3 linked regions of the Pelodiscus sinensis genome follow. The protein of the gene in region 1 interacts with the protein of each later gene in a biochemical or structural test. Links are inferred from orthologs where the notes say so. Each region holds a gene or a part of one and is shown in the gene's direction. Other genes may lie near its edges. The genes, in order: HLTF, RAD18 and UBE2V2.

Region 1 (7,829 bases):
CTTAAAGATGAACTGTAGCTCAGCAGTTTCTCTTTGAAGTCTGGTCCTGAAGTTTTTTTGCTGCAGGATAGCTACTTTTAGATCTGCAATTGTGTGTCCAGGAAGATTGAAGTGTTCCCCTACAGGTTTTTGTATGTTGCCATTCCTAATATCAGATTTGTGTCCATTGATTCTTTTACGTAGGGACTGTCCTGTTTGGACAGTCCCTACGTAAAAGAATCAATGGACACAAATCTGATATTAGGAATGGCAACATACAAAAACCTGTAGGGGAACACTTCAATCTTCCTGGACACACAATTGCAGATCTAAAAGTAGCTATCCTGCAGCAAAAAAACTTCAGGACCAGACTTCAAAGAGAAACTGCTGAGCTACAGTTCATCTTTAAGTTTGACACAATCAACTCTGGATTAAACAAAGACTGTGAATGGCTTGCTAACTACAAAAGCAGCTTCTATTCTCTTGGAATTCACACCTCCAGATCAGCTGCTAGAAGTGGGCCTCATCCTCCTTGATTGGATCCACCTGGTCATCTCCAGCCTGATCCTGGCCTGCATATTTATTCCTGCCTCTGGAAATTTCCACTACATGCATCTGACGAAGTGGGTCTTTGCCCACGAAAGCTTATGCTCCTACACTTCAGTTAGTCTATAAGGTGCCACAGGACTCCTCATCGCTTTTGTATTTATAGTTGGCATTATATCTTCCAACGTGCGTTACTTTGCACTTACCAATGTTGAATTTCATCTGACATTTTGTCACCCAATTCTCACTTTTGTGAAATTCCTTTATACTTCTTTGTAGTCAGTTTTGATCTTAACTGTCTTGAATAATTTTGTATTGTTTGCAAATGTTGGCACCTCTTGTCCATCGCCTTTTCCAGATCACTTATGGATATTCTGAACAGAATAGGTCATAGTACATATCTGTGAGGGACCCAGAAATTCACCTCTCTCTGTTTTGAAAACTGACCATTTCTTCCTAACCTTTGCTTCCTTTTAACCCATCACTAGACTCTCATCTCGTAATCCATGAGTATTTACTTTGCTCAAGAGGCTTTGGTGTGGGACCTAGTGAAAGGCTTTCAGAAAGTCCAAGTACACAGTATCAACTGGATCTTCTTTGTTCGCTTGTTGAGCCCCTCAAAGACTTCTAAAAGATTGGTGAAGCATGATTTCCACTATTTTTATTCTCCTGTTTTCCCTATCATCTACTATATATTTGAGAACTTGTGAGTAAGTCTGTCCAGCTGTTTGTTCAAGAACTCCTCCTAAATGGTAAGAGATAGGACCACCAAATTTGGAATAAAAGAAAGTGAATCATAACTTAAAGCAAGATAAAGGTTTGGTTTTGCACTGGGATGGGGCAGGCTGAAGCTCCCTCCTCCCCTTCCCCCCCGCCATGCAAAAAGGGATACATACAACAATATAGAAATCACCAGGCTGATGAAAGGAGCTGGTTGGGGTGTGTCCCACGGCCAGGACTGTCCTAGGCCCGGGCCTCCCATCCCTCAGGTACCCTTTAGCGAGGGTGGGGGGAGCTGCAGCTCCACCCCCCATTTGCATGGGAACATGCTGGCTGTTCCTCTTCTATCAGGGAGTGAGGGGAAAATACACAGTTTGCTCCATTCCTCAATCTGGGGAGTGTAGTGAACAGACAAATCTGGACCTGCCCCAGCCAGGGGACATGAACCCCTTCCCTGGCTATGCCTCCTGGAGCTGCAGCAACCATGGAGAAGTGCTTCTCACCTGACTCCAAGCTGCTATGGACCCGAGCAATGCCTGAAATCTTCTAGTTTCTTATAATCATGAATTCATCATTTGATGATCACTTTCACCCAAGGTACTTCCTACATTCAGATTCTCAAACAATTCTTCCCTTTTTGTCAAAATCATATCTGTAACAGCCTCCCCTCTAGCTCAATGTTTTCTCAAAGTGGTCCACGAAACCACTTTGAGAAACCTATTAACTGCCCTCGCCGGTTTGTTTATTTACTGGCGCTGTGGCCATGGAGCCTCGCTGTTCCTATTGGCTCCATTTCGCTGTTTTGAGCCCAGGTGAGCTGCGGGAAGCAGCAGCCCAGCCCACACTGCTTCCTAGGGCTCCCGTTGGCTGCAAACTGCAAAATGGAGCCAATGGCAGTGCGCAGGAGTCCTGGGATGCAGTGGAGCTGCTGGGGACAGTCCCTGGCAGCAGTGTTGTGCAGAGTGCAGAGCTCCGGGCACAGGAGTCAAGATTGCTGGGAGGGAGGGTGTCAGCACAAGCTGGGGGTGCAGGGTTTTGGTTGGGGAGGGGACTGAGTGATGGGATTGAGGTGTGGGGGGTCTGGGCATGAGGAGGAACTCTTACCTAGCTTTGCGTCCCCTTGTGAGGAAAGCTTCTGGACAGCGTGTCACTGTGCTGCTGTTCCCACACCAGGGCAGGTAGGGCAAGGGGAGAGAAAGCGGCAACACACAAAGTGCACCTGCGAAGCCCAAGCACGCCCTGCCCTGCAGTGCCCTAGTTGGGCTCTGCAAGGCCCCTGCCCGGGCTGAAGCTGCAACTCCAAAGCACTGAGGGCTAGAAGCAGCTCCACTGGGTTTTGCAGTTGCCTCACAAGGGTGGAATTGTGGCAGGATGGAGTGTGGGGAGGGGAGAGGACAACAGCCATGCACTCTGTGATGCGGCTTGTTTTTGATCCCGTTCCCCAGGTGTCTCAGGGAGTGCGGGGAAAGTGCTTGCATTCTTTGCATGCCTCTCACTCCTGGCTGGTGGGCTCAGAGCTGGGGTAAGGGGGTGAGGCACTGCGGGGCATGAGGGTTCTATCTGGGGGTGAGGCTCTGTGGATAGGGTGACCAGATGACTGGTTTTAAACTGAAACACTGAGTTGAAAAGGGATCCTGGTGGTTTTAGTCAGCACCACCAACTAGGTTGTTGAAAGTCCAGTTGGTGGTACTGTGGAGCTAAGGCAGGCTAGACTCTACCTGTCCTGGCACTACAGCAACGTCTTAGCCAGAATAGACCAGATGGGGGGGCTCAGACTTTGGGTGGGTGGGCAATGACTGGGGAGTAGCAATGATGCAGCTGCCTCTCCTCCTCCCTCAAGTAGCCTTGGAAGAGGGGAAGGGATAGATGCTCTGACCAGGGGCCCTCTTAAAAATGGGAGCCCCCATATAAATGTGCGATCCTCCCATTTGCTCCCCCCTCACTCAGGGCATGGGTATGTCCCATCCGCCCACCTGGCACTTCCAGCTAGCAGTGGAGTTGGAACTCTGGGGCTTGCCCTGCTCTGTTGCCCGGCACTCTGAGCATGGAACAGTCAGAGCACAGGGGCTTGCCCTGCTATGCCACCCAGCATGGATGGATTGCCAGGGCTTGCCCTGCTTCGCTGCCTGGAGCTCCCAGCAGGGAAGCTGGGTCAGGGCACAGAGGCTTGCTGGGAGAGCCAGGTGGAGGAGCAGGCTAATCTCCTGGGCTGTCGTCTACACTGGTGGATTATTGCATAAGAATGGCCGTTCTTGCGCAAGAACCCACAAAGCGTCCACACTGCCCATCTGCTCTTGTGCAAGAAGATTTACAGTACGGTGTCGGAAGACAGGGCTTCTTGTACAAGAGCTACGCTCTTTTCTAACAAGTGTAAGCCCTCTTGTGCAAGAGCTCTTGCAAAAGATGGCAGTGTGGATGTGCAGCAGGAGCTCCTTGCACAAGAAAGCCCTATGGCTAAAATGGCCATTAGAGCTTTCTTGCGCAAGAGAGCATCCACACTGCCATGGATGCTCTTGTGCAAAAGCACATGGCCGTGTGGACGTGTTCTTGCGCAAGAGTTCTTGCACAAGAACCCACCAGTGTAGATATAGCCCTGGAGCACTGAGTGGAGATGGGCAAGCCCTCATGGTCTGGTGGTAGTAGAGGCAGGGCGGTGGGTGGGCATGTATGCTAAGTGGCAGACCCATTCGTGCCTACTATCCTGCATCACACTGTGCCTGTAAACAGCTAGCAGGTTTGGCTCCTAGGTGGGGGAACCCACAAGGCTCCACATGCTGCACCTTCCCTGAGCACTGGTCCCATACCCCTGCTGCCTGCTTGCAGGGTGCAGCACAGAGCCAGGTCAGGTAGGAACCGCCTTCGCTCTGCAGCACTGCTGACCGAACTTTTAACAGCCAGGTTGGCAGTGCTGACTGGAACCTTCCAAATTCTTTTTCAACTGAGTGTTCCAGTTGAAAATCGGACACCTGGCAGCCCTGGGCTTGAAAAGTCAATCACCATTGAGTTGTTAGGTACTAATGCCACAAATTGATCCAGTGATATCAAGATGTGATGACATGCAATGAATAGACTTTAAATCTAGAAGGGGGCATTATTATAATCTAGTCTGGCCTGCATTACGCAGGCCAATCTCTTGCAGTAATTTCTGCATCAAACCCATAACTTGTTTGAGTTTCAGCGATGGGGCAGACCTTTTAGAAAGCCATCCTGTCCAGATTTAAAGACTGCAAGTGACAGAGACTCCACTGCTTCTCCAGGTGACCTCTTCTATGCCCGCTGTGCAGGGAGCCCGAAGGCCACCGCGGGCTGAGGTGTCAGTAGCGGGGGGTCGGGCAAGGGGAATTAATTGGCAACCAGGCTGTGGGTGCAGCCTCCTGGCCGCCGCGGCGGTGGAAGGGAGACGGTGGGACACAGGAAGCAGCCGCTCGAAGGCTTGGCGGCTCTTTTCGGTCGCACAGAGAACTCACGGAGAAAGTCCCGCCCCTCTGCCACAGCCCTGTTCTCATTGGCTGGGGCCTGTGACATGCGGGGTGAGATTGGTGTTGTTGTTGTCAATCAGGCTGGTAGCGCTGCACTGACGGCGGGCTGTGGGGGGAGGACGCTGCAGGATCTGTTCTGTGCCCTTAGCCGTGCGGCGGCCCCCAGCAGCGCCATGGCTTGGATGGACATGCGGTGAGGTCCCGTGGGGGCAAAGCGGGCGGGCCTTGTGCAATGGGCCAGCGAGGCCGGATGCTGGGAGAGCGGGCTAGGCCGAGGGGCCGGGCGCCTTGGGCCTGGGGAGAGAGGGGGTGGGAATGGACGTCCTGGGGCCGCGGGGGCCGGTGGGGCTGAGTGCCTTGAGCCTGGAGGGGAACAATGGGGGTGAGGCTGGACGCCGTGCTGGGGGGGGGGGGTGAAGGTGGGGCTGAGGCGAGGGGGGGACTGGGCACCCTGGGGAAATGGGGCTGAGGGAGTGGGACTGGGTGCCATGAGGGGTGTGTGTGTGTGTGGGGGGGGTGCATAGTGGAGCTGTGCCAGGAGTGTAAATGGTTACCAGGTAAGCATTAGGTTTACCGGGTAGTTAACTGGTTAAACTGGTTGGGTGGCAGGAATCAGGGCAGGGCAACAGCTGTGGCAGCCCTGTCTTAGCCCCACCAGACAGAGACAGGCAGGATCCTGGCAGCCCTGGCCCTAGGAAGGGCAAACAGGACCCAGGCCGGCTGCAGCCCCAGCCCCTCTGCATCTCGTGTGTGCCCTGCAGCATTACACTTAATCAGTTAAGCATTTTATTTAACTGGCTTACCGCAATTTCACATCTGCGGGCTGGAAACCAGCAGTGGATTAGACTTTTGGCTCTCTGGACTGGGAGGCTTCGGTGGGTTTGTACTTTCTTGATGTGTTACTTTAAGGACCTGACTGATCACAAACCAAGGCATCTGCCAGACCAGAGGAGGTCAATTTTGGCTCCTCTGCTGCTGCTTGCTGTGGGGTTCCACTCCAATGGCAGCAGATGGACTGGCATTGACCAAGCAAATGGAGGGAGCGCTTGGGGGAAAAAGGCCAGGTGGCTGCAGAGGCCCATAGGGTGGCACTCCTGCCTCTTCCATTGAGCATCACCCAGTTCCTGCTTCTCCCCCTTTGTCCCTGAGATTGAGCCCTGCAAATGAGCTATTTGTGGTGCTCTGGGAGGACAGGGGAGGAGTTGCTGAGGATGGGCCCTGGCTTTTCCTTATGAGTGCTCCAACCTGGGAACATCCACAGGGATGTCAGACCACATATGTTGCCAGTCTATAGAGGTCCAACCAATTGTTATGGAAACAGTTATCAGTTAGTGTTGAAGGGGAGAGAACGGCCAGTTCTCACTTTTTGTGAGATGACTGTCTTTTTCATACTCCCTTACTAATCCTGTGACCTCTGTTGTATCTCCTTAGTTGGGCTTTAGTGCTCTCTAAATGTTGGTATCTCACGTCAGTTAGACATGTTACATTAGTTAATTCTTTGTTACCACAACATGTCCAAATTAAGGCAGGGTTGTGAGCTATAAGGGATATTTCTGAGGAGGTAGGTATGGGGCAGGCTCCTCAGGCAGAGCAAAATGTAGCAGCCTGCCTTCTTAGTGAATTGTTCCTATTGTTCTTAGTGATGTTAAGATGCGGTTAATTGGCTAATCGAGTAGTCAATAAAAATACTATCGACCACTCAATTAGTTGATAAGGGAAGGCAGCCCCGCTCAGTTGTGGCTTGCTCCATGTCCAGGACTGGGACCTACCCCCTGCTGCAGCTCTGAAGTTGAAATGTACTAAAGGCCAGGCATGCAGGCAGCTCAGCTCTTACTACATTTAAAATGCAGAGCCACAGCAGGGGGTAGGTTCCTGGCCAGAGCAGCCCCTGTACATGCCCAGTTGATAGAGGCAGCAGCACAGGAGGGAGTACAGGTGGCACCACGGAGATGGTGCTGTGATGACCTGGCTTTTGTAATGGCTCCTGCTTCCTCCACCCCTTGCTGCCTCTTATAAAGAGGCAGTGGGGACGGACGGACAAATGTGAGTTGTCGAGTAGTTGACTAGCTTAACCGATAAGCCTAGGCTTATCAGTTAGTTGACTGTTTGCTTACATCCCTAATTCTTAGTGAATTTCCCCAGAAGTATATACAAGGTGTAAAAAATGTTAAGGCTCCTTTACATTGCCAGAGTGGTGTCAGTATGGCCTTATAAAAGCTTCTCGTACTTCAGTGATTAGAGCTGGTCTAAATTTGTGGACTGAAAATTTCCTATTAGAGTGTGGTCTATGAACTGTTTGCTACTGACCTTTCTGGAAATGGCCAGTAGTCAATTCAAATTGTAAGTAAGAGTGCCCAGCCCTCACTTGCTCTTCAGTTGCCTATGGTGTAACACTGAGCAAATGGCTGTATATATTTGTTGATCAATAAAGTGTCAGTACTAGCTACGTTACTATTAAAGGGGATTTGAGGAGTTCCTTCGGTGTTCTGTTTTTCATCCATTGTACTGTAGTTTTAAATATAATTAACCAAAATAATTGAAACAAGCATGATTATACTGAAAGAGATCTTGGCGTCATTGTGGATAGTTCTCTGAAGACATCCATGCAGTGTGCAGCGGCAGTCAAAAAAGCAAACAGGATGTTAGGAATCATTAAAATAGGGATAAAGAATAAGATGAAGAATATCTTATTGCCCTTCTATAAATCCATGGTACGCCCACATCTTGAATACTAAGTACAGGTGTGGTCTCCTCATCTCCAAAAAGATATACTGGAATTAGAAAAGGTTCAGAGAAGGGCAACTAAAATGATTAGGGGTTTGGAACGGGTCCCATATGAGGAGAGATTAAAGAGACTAAGACTCTTCAGCTTGGAAAAGAGGAGACTAAGGGGGGGATATGATAGAGGTATATAAAATCATGAGTGGTATGGAGAAAGTGAATAAGAAAAAGTTATTTACTTGTTCCCTTAATATAAGAACTAGGGGCCACAAAATGAAATTAATGGGCAGCAGGTTTAAAACAAAAAAAAGGAAGTTCTTCTTTACACAGCGCACAGTCAACCTGTGGAACTCCTTGTCTGAGGACATTGTGAAGGCTAGGACT
Region 2 (7,142 bases), on another chromosome or scaffold:
GTCAAATAGTGGGACACTGTTTTATTTCAGCCTAAATATTATGCCAATAAATTACATTTCTGTGAGCAATGTGCTGCTTTAGTACAAATGTAATTATAGTGAACTATTTAAAAAGCCTAACAATTGTGTTGATGCTTGTAAGTTTAATAGCCCATGATTAAGACCAGGCATCTGGTCCATAAAAGTTATTGCAATGAAGCACATAAAGAACATTTTGTCCATAGGACTGCAAAGTCAGATTCCAAACTGAAGGAAAACTTACCAAAATTTTCTCCTTAGTGGTACCATTACAGGGGGACTATGCAGGAGCAACTGCAAAGGAAATGCCTTCTATGGATCTCCAGTAAGTACAAGATGATATATGACAGGGATAGGGAACGTCAGCCCCGGTTCATCATTGGGGAGACTGCGTTAGTGCTCCAGCCCCCTCACCCACAGAGCTGGAACACGCAAAATCTACTAGCCTGGGCCCCCTAAGCTCTGGTGTGCAAGGGGAATGTGGGGAGTTTCTCAATCTCAGTTGGGGCCTCTCACTTTCCTTCTCACTTGTGTGGTCCCTGACTGATTTTTCTGTGGGTCAGCGGCCCCCGACCCAAAAAAGGTTCCCCACTCCTGAATTATGATGTTCTTTGGGTATAGTTTGAGTGGAAGTGAATGTGATCCTGTACCACTAGCTTCCACTCAGAATATACCCAACAACAAACTTCATAAATCATCTTGTACTAAACTACAGGAAGATGGCTGGGCGACAGCAGGAGCCTCAGCAAGCGTAATCAGCGCTGGTGAAGAAGTTTTCTATTTGACAAGCTGTTCTGTTTTGACATAATTACCACTACCCAACAGATACCATAATTATTTCCTATTTCATAGATCCCAAGGCCAGCAAAGACCTCTGTGATCATCTAATTCTGGAGTCTATGGCCTGAGCACTCCTCCAATCTAGCCTGCAAAATATTTTTTAAAAGTTATTTAATCAGGCCCATGTGGCTGCTGGATGGGCATGGAAGGGAGAGGGTGGGCAGCACACAGGGACTCACTTGCACACATGGCTCTCAGCAGCACACAGGCCCCTGGTGCCCACATAGTCCCAGCCATAGAGGGTGCTTATGCCACAATGAGACCCGTGGTGGCCAGAGAGCCCCACAAGCTGATGCACCTTTGTAGCCAGCAAAGCAGTGGGTTTCACTTTTGGTTACCTCAGCCAAGGATGGGGTATCTCAGCATGAGGATGTGGATGCTGGTGAGGTGTGGAGCCAGGTGGGATGTCAGTGTGAGGATGCAAATGTTAGCTGTTGGGGCAGGCGGGATCCCAGTGTGAGGGTATGGATGTTAGTGCGGGTGGGAGGGAAAGGAGGTGGCATCCCAGTCTGAGGACATGAGAGAATCAGGCTGAGGACTCAGTTTCATGTCTTGTAGGATCTTGGTTTCTGTGTGGGTTCCTGGACACAGGGGGAGACACTATCAACTTGCATGTACTGTATTGCCAACTCCAAAAGTTCAAAACTCATGAATCAACCTTCTTCACTCCCCAAAGAGAGATTGGCTTCTGGAAATCACAGATGAAAATATACTTGGGGATCTTTTTATTTGGCATCTGATGTTTGTGTTTTGTTTTGTTTTTTTGATAGCTTGCATACTTTTTGTTTTCCCTTTCCTTTTACTTTCATCTTTGAGTCTATGGGTTTTTTTCTATTAAATAATCTTTTTTATTTATTTTCACTGCAAGCAGGTATCTGGTATGCAAACTGTGAACTGTGTAAGCCAGGAATGTCAAACTCAAAGACAATCTTTGGCTTTCCACTTTCATACTAGTTAACATTCCTTTTGTAATAAGTTACTTATTGCCTTAAAAATGTTTTCCAGCATATCCCCAACTACTGTGGTGTCCAACCAGTTCTGAAGTTCTGAAGCAGTGGCCCTTATAGTGGTTACCACTAAAGCAAACTAGCAACACTCAAATGGCCAAATAGTCACATTGTTCAAGCCAACCAGCCACACTCAACCAGCCAATAACCACATGTGCATTAATTAAATAACAATTTAGACCCAATGTTTATAGAAGGATCCAACTAAAAACTCAAGGGATCAATGAAACACTCACACTAAATCCATTTAGGTATTTATAAAGTTCTCATCATGTTAGTCACTGATCTCCCGGTTTATTCTGGTTTGTTTTTCATCTCCTTTCTCTGAAGCAGCAGGCATGTCCATGGCTGGAAATGGGGCATTGGGTGGGGAGGACCAGGATTCTGAGCATTCTCTCTTTAGTACTTGGCAGGTTGGTTTTTGCTCACATGCTCAGGGGCTAACTGATTGCGTGTGTGGAGGGGCAGGAGCCAGGGGCAGAAGGGGGCCCTGGCCAGGGGGTTGGTGTGTGTGTGTGTGTGTGTGTGTGTGTGTGTGTGTGTGTGTGTGTGTGTGTGTGTGTGTGTGTGTGTGTGTGTGTGTGTGTGTGTGTGTGTGTGTGTGTGTGTGTGTGTGTGCGTGTGTGTGTGAAGGGAGGACAAGGGGATTGAAGACCCCCTCCCCATTCCAAAGATTTGTACCATGATGTTACTTGCTCTTTTCCTTCTTGTCACCTCAGGGAACAAGAGGAGAGTGCAGAGCACGTCTGCCCTGACCTGCCCAGCCAAAGTGAGGGTAATGCAGCAAATTGTGCCCTTTCCTCTTGCTTCCTGCCAGTGACAGGAAGGGGAATAACAGCAAACAGCATCCCGGTACAAATGTCAGGTGGGCATGCCCCCAGCCAACTCCTTTAATCTGCTTACCTGCCTGCTGCTTAATGCAGAAGCCTGCAGGAGATCTCTTGGAGACAGGTTGAGAGCATGCTGCGCCTCCTCCTGCAGCTGAGTGCCCCAGCTGGTCATCTCCTTCTTGCCAGAATAGCACAGTGGGGTGCACCGGCTTACTTTCTGGGTCAGACTGGCAGTGACCCTGGGGATTTTTGCCTTTCTCTACAGGATGTGGGTATGGATAATTTCGCTTCCATTGAAGTTGCCTTGGACACTGGTGCACCATGATCCCTCCTATTTACTAGCTGTGGGATATAATAGTCTAGTTTCCTTTGTCTAATTTCAGTTTAATGTGTGCATGCTGCTGGTAGCCTGAAGGTCAGACTAGATGAGCTGGTTGTCTCTTCTTAGGGGTTTCGACTTTGGTTGGACGAATTCTGGAGATCTCATCACATAGCATTATCTTTAATTAAAAATTAATCTTTAATTCCTGGAGACTCCAGGATAATCCTGAGTCTAGCCTTAAATTCTATTACTCTAAAAGTAATCGGTTATCTCCAGATTTTTCCAGGTAAAATTATAGGCAAACTAATAAATGACATTATAGCATGCTCAGATGGCTACACTGGTGCTTGTGCTTACTGCTGTATTGCGCGTCTTGCAATACAGTATTTGAACTTTCTTGAGGCCTTTGCTCCTGAAATCATCATATTAAAGTTAGCTTGCCTCGTTTTTTGTAATTTAGTTCTTCACAGCCACAAGACTCTGAAAAAGATTAAAAACAGGAATCTTAGAGGCAACTAAAAAGACATTTAAAGTTTTTTTTAAATAATATGTTGTCATATTTATGCCAATCTCATGATTTGATGGGTGGTTGTGGTATCCAGACGTGATTCCTGAGCGTTTGGTTAGACAAGGTGGAGTGTGATATTAGATTCAGTAGTAAGGTTGCCAGATGGTTTCAGCAAAAATACCAGACACACTTGACATTACATCTTATTTAGAAAATACCGGACATTTCTATTTTCTCAATTTGTTCCCCGAACAGAAAGCTCAAATACTGGACTGTCCCATTCAAAACCGGACACCTGGCAACCCTGTGTAGGGAGACACAAGAGGTCCTGTGGCACCTTGGAGACTAACCAAACCCTATAGCCCCCTGAGCAAAACCCACTTCATCAGATGATTAGGAGTGAGGGGGTGGCATGAGATCTCTCCATGGACAGCAGGGGAAGGTCCCAGGGCAACAGCTGGCCCTTGCATTCGAAACGCAGCCGCGGTACCATGTGTCTGCGCGAGGGAGGCGGAGCGGCTGACGCGTCGTAGCGAAGAAGGAACGATCCTTTGTTCCCTCGTGACGCCCAGCTCCATCCTGGCCCGGCAGCCCTGAGCCACGGCACAAACTACAACTCCCAGCAACCTCCGGGGGCGGGGCCGGAAGTGCGCGGAGCCGGCTGCTGTCTGGAGCGGAGCGCGGGTGATTCGGGGACGCTTGCGCGGCTGGAAGCGGCCTGTGGCGGGCACCATGGCGCTGGCCGAGCCGGGCTGGCCGGAGAACCTCTCCCTGCTCAAAGTGAGTCTCTGTCTGTGGGGGGGGGGGCGGTCCTCCGTTCCCGGCGCTGTGCGGCTTGGAGCGCGAGGGAGGCCCGGGGGCGCTGCGCAGTGACAGTGGGGAGAGCCCGGCGCCCTGGGGGAGCTGCACAGTGAGCGCGCGGAGCGGCCTCAGGGGACTGCACAGTGACAGTTGGGGGGGGGTGGGGGCTGCACAGTGACAGTTGGGGGGGGGTGGGGGCTGCACAGTGACAGTTGGGGGGGAGCCTGGAGCCTGAGGGAGTGGGGGGGGGGGTTGCACAGTGACAGTTGGGGTGGGTGGGGGCTGCACAGTGACAGTTGGGGGGGAGCCTGGAGCCTGAGGGAGTGGGGGGGGGGGGTTGCACAGTGACAGTTGGGGTGGGTGGGGGCTGCACAGTGACAGTTGGGGGGGGAGCCTGGAGCCTGAGGGAGTGGGGGGGGTTGCACAGTGACAGCTGGGAGGGTGCAGGCCTGGGTGAATGGGAGTCCATAGTGAGGTCTGGCGGTGGGGAACCTGAGGCCTAAGAAGGGGTTAGCACAGTGACAGCTGGGGAGTGCCCGGGGTTTTGGGGGCAGGCTGCACAATGGGAGCTGGGGAATGCACCCCCTGGGAGCAGAGGGTGATGACCAGTGAGATCAGGTGCTTGCTGTGGGGTGGTGGTGGGAATAAACTTTGGACCGTAAGTAAGAGCGCTTTAAAATCCTAAAGCAAAAGAATGGTTCCCCAGGGCTGTTCAAGTGTCAGAACTGGCATTTTGATTCATGGGGACTCCCCAGAGTGACTGTGGGGATGTCTAAAGTATCAAGATTGCTGCTGGCTTTATAGTTAAGGATGTTGAGAGGCAGGTAATTGGCGAATCGTGTAGTCAATTGAATTTTTATTGACTGCGTGATTATTCAATAAGGGAAGGTGCTCAGTCCTGGCCTGCACTGGGTCCAGGAGCTACCTGTGCTGTGGCTCTGCAGTTTAAATGTAGTAGGAGCCAGGCTGCCTCCCCATCTGGCTCTTAATACATTTAAACTGCAGAGCTGCAGAGGGGGTAGGTCCCAGACCTGGCACAAGCAGCTGGGACTGAGCAGGGCTGCCTGCCTGGCCAGAGCAGCCCCTGTCCATGGTGGCCTGAACTGGCCACAGGCAGAGGCAGCTCCAGCAGCAGCCCTATCTTTGGGGGATCCCTAGGGGAGAGGCAGGGGAGTCTGCTGCCCCAGGCAGAGGCTATGACCAGAGGCTCCCCTCTGGGAGCCCCCCCCCCCCCGTGGTCAGGGGCTACTGCCAGAGCAGCCTCTGCCTGTGGCCTGCGCAGGCCACTCTGGACAGGGGCTGTTTTGCCTCCCCCATGGTGTTGTCTCTCACAGAGGCAGCAATATTTATAGTGGAATTTACATTTCTCATTTCCAAAAGCTTTTAGGTGGCAGTGCATGCCCTTTTATTTTGACAAGACCCTTATCTTTCCTAGGGAGTGAGTTGGATGGGGGGGGGGGGGGGGGGTGGAGTTTTGTTAGGAGGACTGTCAGTTAATATTGAGTTACTAGAAAAGCTCTCCTTCTGGCAAGGGTCTTTTGCAAGGATTGCCTTTCCCTCCTGTCCTCCCTCTTTACACTTTTGAGCTCTAGCACTGATGCTGAGGATTAAATATATACACTAGAATTGATTTTGGAAGCTGTTTTGACTTACATTTATTTATTGACTTTGTATTCAGCAAGTTGCTACTGTTTAGCTATTTGACAGTTTGCATTTGGGTTGGTTTTTAGAGTAGCAGCTCTTGACATATAACTACTGTACCACTCATTCCCAGGGGATGTGAGGGATTTTTGTTTTTCATCTATGGGGTTTAAGAAACTGGTGGACAAGAATTTGAGATTGAAAGCATATTGATATTTCCTATATTGTATATGTAGTCTGAGGAAGAGATCTTTATGGGTGCCTTAGAATGACCTTAACTTTTATTTTTCCTATTTCAGGCAGTAGATGATTTGTTGCGTTGTGGGATATGCTTTGATTACTTTGATATTGCAATGATCATACCACAGTGTTCACATAACTGTAAGTATAGCAGAATTTTTAAGAGTGTGTTAATATAGCCCTTCCTGGTGCCTGACGCTCGTTCCATCCTGTCATCTCTTCTGTTAGCTTCTTAGGCCCTGACTCTGCTCTGGTCTTTTTGGGGTGGGCCAGACTGCCTGGCTCCAATCCCAGCCCCAACCTTGTTGCGCCTGGGGAAGCCTGGCCTCAGAGCTGCCACAGTGCGGAGATGTGCTCTTCCCCCCCAGCCCACGTGCTGCTGAGAGGAAAGCCTTCACTCCAAACCCGGCCCCACCCCATAGCCTGTACTACCAGTTTAACCAATTGGAGCCTTCACACCCTTGCATCACAGTGTTGTACTCCAGCCATCTGCCCCATGCTTGAACCCCCTTCTCACACTATGAACCATGTGCCTCCTTCTCTGCCCCTCCCCCCAGTTCATGAATTTTGTTATGTGCATCAATATGAAGGCGATGTATTATTGCACATCACCTTCATCTTGGGTGCACTTAACAAAATTCATTTTTCTCTGGGATAGGAAAAATTAGAGGGAACGTAGGTGGAGAGGATTACTTTAATTTGGGTCTGCGTTGCAGTCTGAATGCCGCCAGGCTGTTACTACATTTAAAATGCAGAGGAGTAGCGTCCCAGAACAGCATGAGCAGGGGATGCTCTGTCCTGGCTTGTGCTGAGTCCAGCAGCCTCTGTTTGTGGTGGCCAGCCCTGTCTGCTGCAAACAGAGGCTGCTCTGGCTGGGCGGCAGCAGCCCCTGTCCGTGGCAGGGCCCAGCTTCTGCTTATCGGGTAGTCAACTAT
Region 3 (7,438 bases), on another chromosome or scaffold:
TGGCTATTAGCCAGGATGGGCAAGAGTGGTATCCCTAGTCTCTGTTTGTCAGAAACTGATTGACGGGGCATGGATCACTTGATGATTATGTGTTCTGTACATTCCCTCTGGGGCATCTGTCATTGACCACTATGGAAAGACAAGATACTTTAGGATAGACATTTGGTCTGACCCAGTATGGCACTTCTTATGTTCCAGTAAGAAATGAGTTCTACTTGCACCACCTGTGCATACCTGAATCACGAAACTGTGGTGGGCTGGAAAACAGAACATTTTGAGCATTTGGGCTTTGCATGTCAACTGCTGGAGAAGTTGGCATTGGCTGTAGATCTCCTGTAGATGTGGAGTCATCTGTTCGACGTTTTTGTGAAGGAGGCGACTGAGCATCTTCAGTGCGTGCTGTAACAATATGAAAGCTGGTAAGTAGCTATTTCAGATTTAAGTTGCAATGTTCTACACCGATAAATGTGAACAGATCAAATCACAAAAAAATCATATGGCAGAATGGAAAAAAATTGGTTGATATAAAATTAAAAAGCAAAGTGTAAAATTTTGCTGATATGAGAGTAATTGTGAGATTTCAAAGTGGTTAAAAGAATTTAAAATTGATATTGAATTTATCTTCCTAAATGCTTAAGATATCAGACCTGCTACAAGTGCTATGAAAACCTAGCTCATATCGTGTTTTTCCATCATATAGTGTTTTTAAAAAGTGCTTTGAAAACAGGATCATTACAGGCAGTCCTTGACTTTATGATGTTCAACTTCTGACGAATGGCATCTACAATGTTTCTGAATCTACACTCTAATTTCGACTTTATGACTCTCGGCCTCATAATGGAGCAGATTGCAGTTCTGAGTTATGAGATTTCAATTTATGATACAATTGATGTCTGAAAATAGCATTGAGAGTCTGAGGACTGCTTGCATCCCTATTTTCTAGTGGGGAAACTGAGGCACAGAGAAGAGGACCCAACCTACATACTAATGAGTATCAAAGATTTCAAGTGCAGCATTTCATGTACCCTATTTGTAAACTTGCCTGTATTTCGCTTTTAAAAAACTTTTAAACAACATCCTCTTCCATTAATGCATCGTTGAAGATTAGGGTCAGGTCTATAGCTCAAAGTTTTGTCAATATTGTTATGTCTGTCATGTATGTGAAAAAAACATTCCCCTAACTCAGGAGTGGAAAATAAGCAGGCCAGTCATGATTCATAAGGGGTAGTCCCTGGCAGGCCACCAATCACTTTATCTGAGCATTCACAGGTACGGTACCTTGCAACTTTTGTCAGCTGTGATTCACCAATACCAGACAACGGAAGCTGTAGGAATCAGTAACCCAATGAATGATGGCCTACAGGAGCTGCAAGTGGTACATATGGCTGCTCAGAAAAATAAAGTGTCCAGTGGCCTGATAGGGACTAACCACTTATTGCCCACTCCTGCCTTAAGTTGATACAGGCTATACCAGGAAAGCCCAAAGTTGTAGCCACAGTTATGCTGACAGAAGAATGTCACAAAAATGGAAAAGACCCACAGTGGGCTGAGCTCAGGAATGACATTACATGCGCTGAACACTCCTCTGCCCCTACAGCTGTGCTGGCAAAGCCTTGTAGTGTGGACAAGGCCTTTCAGAAAAAAACAAGTTCAGCCCACAACTGACAAAGAGTAATGTTCCTTAAGTCACCTTGCTTAAGTGGCCTAAAACCGGTAACTTCTTGCTTCCCGCATGTCCAGATTTTTGAACTCTTGTTTTAATGATGAAAAACTGCATGTAACATTCTTCTCAAGACATTTGCTTTGCAGAGCAAACATAAGAGCTAAACTCCATCTTTTCTTGGGCATCAGCCAGGCTAAACCTACATATGGAAGAATTCCTGCTTATTATAGGCAGCTGGAATAGGAGGGAAACCCTGAGTGTGTCTATGTAAATACAAATTGCTTCTGTTTGCTTAGATATTCAACTGCTGCAACGATTGCCCATTGTAACCAATTTGGTTGTTGTGGGATCCCAAATTGCATTAACAGTAAATGCAGGAATTGTGAAATATGATCACCTAGGCTTGCAATTATTGTGGGAAGGCAGAAAAGTCAGACTGTTTAACCCAGTTCAAAAGGAGAGCGACTCCATCAGTTTAAAGACAAATGGATGGACAGAGGCTGTGAGATAAAGTTGGGGAGGGCAGGACTCCCTATCAGTAATCTACATGCTCTCCAGGCATGAGGGTTAAAACTGGTTCAACTTGTTTCTCCTCCTCCCCCCCCACTCCTGTTTCAATGATAGAGCTAAAATAGGCCCCAGAAATCATCTCTTTAATTTACTCTAGTGGATGATGGCATTTTTTATGGCTGGACTGTGCTTTGGGCCAAGAGTTGCAATCACTAGACTTGGCGCAGAGCCAAACCCACCACAAGCTGGCAGAAGCAGCAAGTGCATGGTGACTGAGAGCTAATAGGTCAGTGTTGGAGAGATAGGACGAGCGGCCAGCAAAGTGCAGTGGCATGATGAGCAGCCAGCAGAGTGATGACAGCACCATGAGCAGCCAGCAAGGCAGTGATGGAAAGGAGTGATGAATGGAGGCAGGGCTGGTGGCTGGCAAATGATCAGCCAAGTGAGTAAAATTCCTCCTAACCCCTCCACTCAGGATGGGAAGTGAACTCTGTGGATGCACCTCTAAGCTATGGGTCTGCCCTGACTAAGGGCAGCAGCTGTGAGTGGGGTGCAGAGAAGGGTAACACTTGAAAGGGACCAAGTATCAGAGGAGTAGCCGTGTTAGTCTGAATCTGCAAAAGCGGCGAGGAGTCCTGTGGCATCTTATAGACTAACTGAAGTGTAGGAGCATAAGCTTTCGTGGGCAAAGACCCATTTCGTCAGACGCATTCATCTGACAAAGTGGGTCTTTGCCCACGAAAGCTTATGCTCCTACACTTCAGTTAGTCTGTAAGGTGCTACAGGACTCCCTGCCGCTTTTACTTGAAAGGGACATTTACATTGCTGCACTTTGCCCCTCAGAAGCACCCAGAGCTGTCGTGTTAATTCGCCAGGTTACTGGGTGCAGGCTCAAGCCAGTTCTGTGTTGGATGGATGGAGAGGAATCCCTACTATTGAACCTGGCCCCGGCACTTGCTGATGCTACCTGGCAGAAGGGTTACATCCACTTCATAGGTAAGTGAACCTAGTTACTACAGACAGGGATCCGAGGAAGGCACACAGGCTGCTGAGCATAGCTAGGGTTGCCAGGTGTCCGGTTTTGAACCGGAGGGTCCAGCATTTGAGCTTTCTGTTCGGGAAACAAATAGAGAAAATAGAAGTGAGAAAATCCAGCTGTCCGGTATTTTCTACAGAAGATGTGATGTCGATTGTGCTGATGTCGTGTCAAGCGAGTCCGGTATTTCTGTTGAAGCCATCTGGGACCCCTAAGCGTAGCTAGGCGCAGGGAGACCCAACCCCAGGTGCAAGACGCCGCTAAGCGGGCAGCTACTGCCCCCCGCGCAGGGGGGGCTCCCACCGCCCGGAAAAGCCCCTTCTCCCAGGGCAGGCGGTGCCCAAGCCACGGGGCTACTGCAGCGGGGCTACCGGGACCGGCCCGTCCCACGCCGCAGTGCGAGGAAGGGGCCGCCCGCGCGCCCCGGCACGGCCCGCGCCTCCCGGCACCCGCTCAGCGCCGAGCGCGGGCTGCTGCGCCGGCCACTTACGAGTCGGGGGGTTGCTGCCCCGCCCGCGCTTGCTGCCGCGGCGGCCAGTCGGGGTGGAGGCCGGCGAGGACATGGCGCTGCTCCAGCGGCTGCGGCTCCCTGCCGGGCGGAGAGAGAAACTGAGGCAGGGGCGGAGCGACCCCCACCGCCTGCGAGCGGAAGCCTCGCTCCGCGCCCCGGGACCCGCACGTCACAGGGGACCGCACCCGCCGCTCGCTCCCCCTCTGCGCGCGGACACGGGACGCGGGGTCTCGCGCTCTCGACCCCCTCTTCTTCCCTCAGCACCTTCGGCCGGCCAAGGAACGCCGAGAAAATTCCGCGCCAAATGGGTCACGTGGCGGGCCCTCGCGGGTTTTCCTTCCAATCGCCGCACGGGAGAGCCCAACTCGGCCCGGAAAGGGGGACGGAACCACCCATCTAGGTTCCGGCAGCGAACGATGGTGCCTTAGGGGCTCTGAAAGCCTCGCTACAGGGACAGAACAAAGACTGACAGGAGCCCGATTCCCCCACAATACAGGGAATGCCCCCACGTAGAGCCTACATCAATTCATAGGCAGGGTTCCCCCTCCTTCTCTGGTGAGAGTGGTAGCGCCCAGTCTCTTGGCACAAGCGCTTGTTCCATCTTCGCCCCGCATCGTGCATTCAGGGCCGGCTTCCCTTTCCGTCGCTAGATTTGCAAGCTCTGTGTTTTTTTTTTTTTTTTTACTAGGAAGTGACGTGCTGCGTCAGGCGGAAGTGACGCGATTTGCCCAGGCTCGGGCCGGTGGGAGGGGTTTGGACAAGATGGCTGGATCCACAGGTCTGTGAGGGGGGCTCGCGGTGGGCCTGGGCCTGGGGCGGGTGCGGCGAAGCCGGTTCCCGCGGGGTGGGCCGCGGGCGCTCCGGGAGCGGTCGGCGTCTGTATCCGCCTGCGTTCGGCAAAGGGGCGGTGGTGCCTAGGCCGAGCTGCGGCGGCCGGGCCAGGCCGAGCCAGAGCCTGGGGGCTTCCGGCGCAGCCCCGGCGCAGGGCGCTGAAGGGCAGCGCTCCCCTCCCCAGGGCCTCGGCTGGGGGCGGTAGCGTCGCTTGTAAAGGGCTGCGGGTTGGGATGGCGGAGGCACCTGCGCGGGCCCCGGTGCACGGGGCTGGGGTCTGTGCCTGGCAGAGCCGCCGGGAGCGGAGCCCGAATCCGTACGGCGGGAAGGGAGCGGACTCGCTGTCGGTGTGAAATACAGGGTAGTGGCGGGGCAGGGCCCGGGGGAGATGAGGCGCTAGTGCTCAGTGCCCGGCTTGGGTGGCTGAAAGGCAGGGCCGGGTAGGAGGGACACGGCGTAGTGTCCAGTGTGGACAGACTCGTACAACCAAGGGGATCGATGCCATCTCTTAGCTTACTGCAAATGGTGATGAGCTGAATGGAAGAACGTCGGGATGGCGTTTCCCACTAGCTTAGGTGGTATCGTGTAGCTCAGTAGCTGAGCAGAACCTAACTTATTTTTCATTAGAAGCAATATCCGGCCCAGGGCAGAATCTCAGTCTGGGTTCTAATGTAATACCCAACTGAGGATTTTAGAGGGGATTTAGGATGGAAAGGAATCAAAGTTAACTAACAGAGTGAAAGGTGGAGAAGATCCCAGGGGTAGCTGAATGAACTGACTTCAGTGCTCAGTCAAGGTAATATGAGGGTCAAGATAACTCGACTTAATGTTTCCACTGAGTTTCTGGAGTGGTAGGCCACAGATCAGAACCTTGTGAGGCGGACCTCACCTTCCCCCTCCATGTTTGATGCAGTTCCTCTGCAGGGGAAGAGGAATAGGGTACTAGGTAGAGCTTGGGGGAGGAAAAATTCCTTTCTGAGCATGATTTTGGAAATGGGATGTGAATGGCAGATCCTGAAGAAAGGGAGGAGAGCAGCCTTCAGTATCTCAGGGAGCTCACCACAGGTGATGCAGTGCTTCCCTTGCTGACAGTGAAAAAGCTTGTGTTGCCCAATGTGGGCTGAATTGGGGTAGGCTGCTATGTGTGATAGATGGGTATATTAAAGGAACTGTGTATTGACTTTACTGTGGGAAAACAGTGTTTTCTTTCTCTCTCTAAAAATGCTTTGTGATGTCTTAGTTTAAAATACTTTTTTTTTTAAAAGAACTTTTAGTATAGAGTTCCCAGATTCTATTTACTCCTACCTGCCTCTGAGTTCTACGTCTTCTGGTTTCCTTTAATAAACAGGAAGTAAAGTTGGTTTTGTTTGTGAGTTAATCTTTGCATCTAGCAACTTTTTTGTATTCAAAACAGTTGTTTCATTCCAGAAATAACTAAAAGTTCCTGTTATTGAATCAGAATACTGTATTACTTCTGCTGTGTACTCAATAATAAACTCATTGCCTTTTCCTCGAGCTCTTGGCATATTAACAAATAAGATTATTTTGTATAGCTTGTATGTGTGTATATGTCTCTTTACAGAAATGACTTTCCTTATTGAAATGTACATACTTGTATAGTAAAACAACTTGGTTATTTAATAACTGTACATATATACTTTCTTGTCTCCAGAGATCCTGAAGTCTTTTATACCATACTTCCCTAGCACCATTGAAAATCAGCCATCTTTTCAATCAAGGGGACTATGATGGCATCGTTGGGGTGCCGTCTGGAATAGATGGACCGCTGTGCCTCCCTAGCTGGATAGCCTGCGCTGTGTCTAATGCTTTGCTAAGTACAAACAGCTAACCGTCCAGGTGCTTTGATCACTCAGCACAGTAGCATATGGAGTCCTGCATTGAGCTAGATTGTATGAATGCTCCCTGAGTCACTCATGAATTGCACAGAGAAAGCCACCAGCCATGTCTTTCCAGCTGCCAGCCTTGTACCTCAGGCATATACTGTCTTGCACTGTTCAATTTATTAGTTGGTTCACCACTTCATCATTGGGAAGTGGAAATGCTCTAGCTTTTGTAAAACCAAGCAATTACCTCCATGCACTTCATGCAAACTCACTGGTAAAGATAAACACTTAAAAATGTATTGATTACAAAAAATAGTCAGAAAATCAGAGTTAGATACCAAAAGAAATAAAATATAACCATTCAGAATAAACTTTCAACCCTATTATATTGAGCAATATCTACTGTAAGCACTCCACTGAATATTGCAGTCCATAATATACAAGTTTGTCCATTAAACATGGGCCAGCCTCCTCTGTTGCAGTCTTCCCAGTGTCCTGGTTGCTTTCAGTATATGTTAGGGCCAAAGAAAGGTGAAGCATAGGCCCACTGAGTTTTCCTAGCATGCCCAGGCCCAGACATGTCTCGTGGGCATTGCTCCGTCTCCAGGTATGGTTGAGCAATTCCCCTGACATGGCATCATGCAGGTGAGTCATTGAATTGTAGCTCTCTTGCTAGACAATGGCTGTTGGTGATTGTTTGAAACCCCGCCCAGGCATCGGCTGCTCTCAATGCAGTTGTCTTTGGGGAGTTAATATTTGGTTGATTCTCCAACTTCCAGCATGTTTACAACACTGTCTCAAAAGTGTGTATGCACTAAAAAGACACATATTTAGATAATTTCTTAAATGTCATTTAACTATTACCTTTCCCCTGATACCTCACATGGCATGCTTTATATGAAATATCACAGTTATATGCAGATGAGAAATATGAGGATAATAGGGGGCTCCATCAAGCTATAGAATGTCACAGGGGCAACCAGGCAGGGTCAGAGAACTACACAACAGGAAGTAAAGTTTAGTTTTTAAGGATTCAGTTAAAC

What was found.
Region 2: the proteins of HLTF (region 1) and RAD18 form a complex in vitro, tested with the Homo sapiens proteins (2 studies listed by BioGRID). The link is inferred for Pelodiscus sinensis from reciprocal best matches to the Homo sapiens genes HLTF and RAD18.
Region 3: the proteins of HLTF (region 1) and UBE2V2 form a complex in vitro, tested with the Homo sapiens proteins (2 studies listed by BioGRID). The link is inferred for Pelodiscus sinensis from reciprocal best matches to the Homo sapiens genes HLTF and UBE2V2.

The regions. Positions count from the first base shown.
Region 1 is NC_134720.1:25,563,007-25,570,835, reverse strand, and holds the start of HLTF (helicase-like transcription factor), read left to right. Parts: upstream 1-4,781; 5' UTR 4,782-4,897; coding exon 4,898-4,917; intron 4,918-7,829. UniProt on the Homo sapiens protein: Has both helicase and E3 ubiquitin ligase activities. Possesses intrinsic ATP-dependent nucleosome-remodeling activity; This activity may be required for transcriptional activation or repression of specific target promoters.
Region 2 is NC_134721.1:19,120,172-19,127,313, reverse strand, and holds the start of RAD18 (E3 ubiquitin-protein ligase RAD18), read left to right. Parts: upstream 1-4,096; 5' UTR 4,097-4,257; coding exon 4,258-4,305; intron 4,306-6,266; coding exon 6,267-6,348; intron 6,349-7,142. UniProt on the Homo sapiens protein: E3 ubiquitin-protein ligase involved in postreplication repair of UV-damaged DNA. Postreplication repair functions in gap-filling of a daughter strand on replication of damaged DNA.
Region 3 is NC_134712.1:69,649,999-69,657,436, reverse strand, and holds the start of UBE2V2 (ubiquitin-conjugating enzyme E2 variant 2), read left to right. Parts: upstream 1-4,359; 5' UTR 4,360-4,482; coding exon 4,483-4,498; intron 4,499-7,438. Other genes in the region: DNA replication licensing factor mcm4, read right to left, coding at 235-399, 3,700-3,772. UniProt on the Homo sapiens protein: Has no ubiquitin ligase activity on its own. The UBE2V2/UBE2N heterodimer catalyzes the synthesis of non-canonical poly-ubiquitin chains that are linked through 'Lys-63'. This type of poly-ubiquitination does not lead to protein degradation by the proteasome.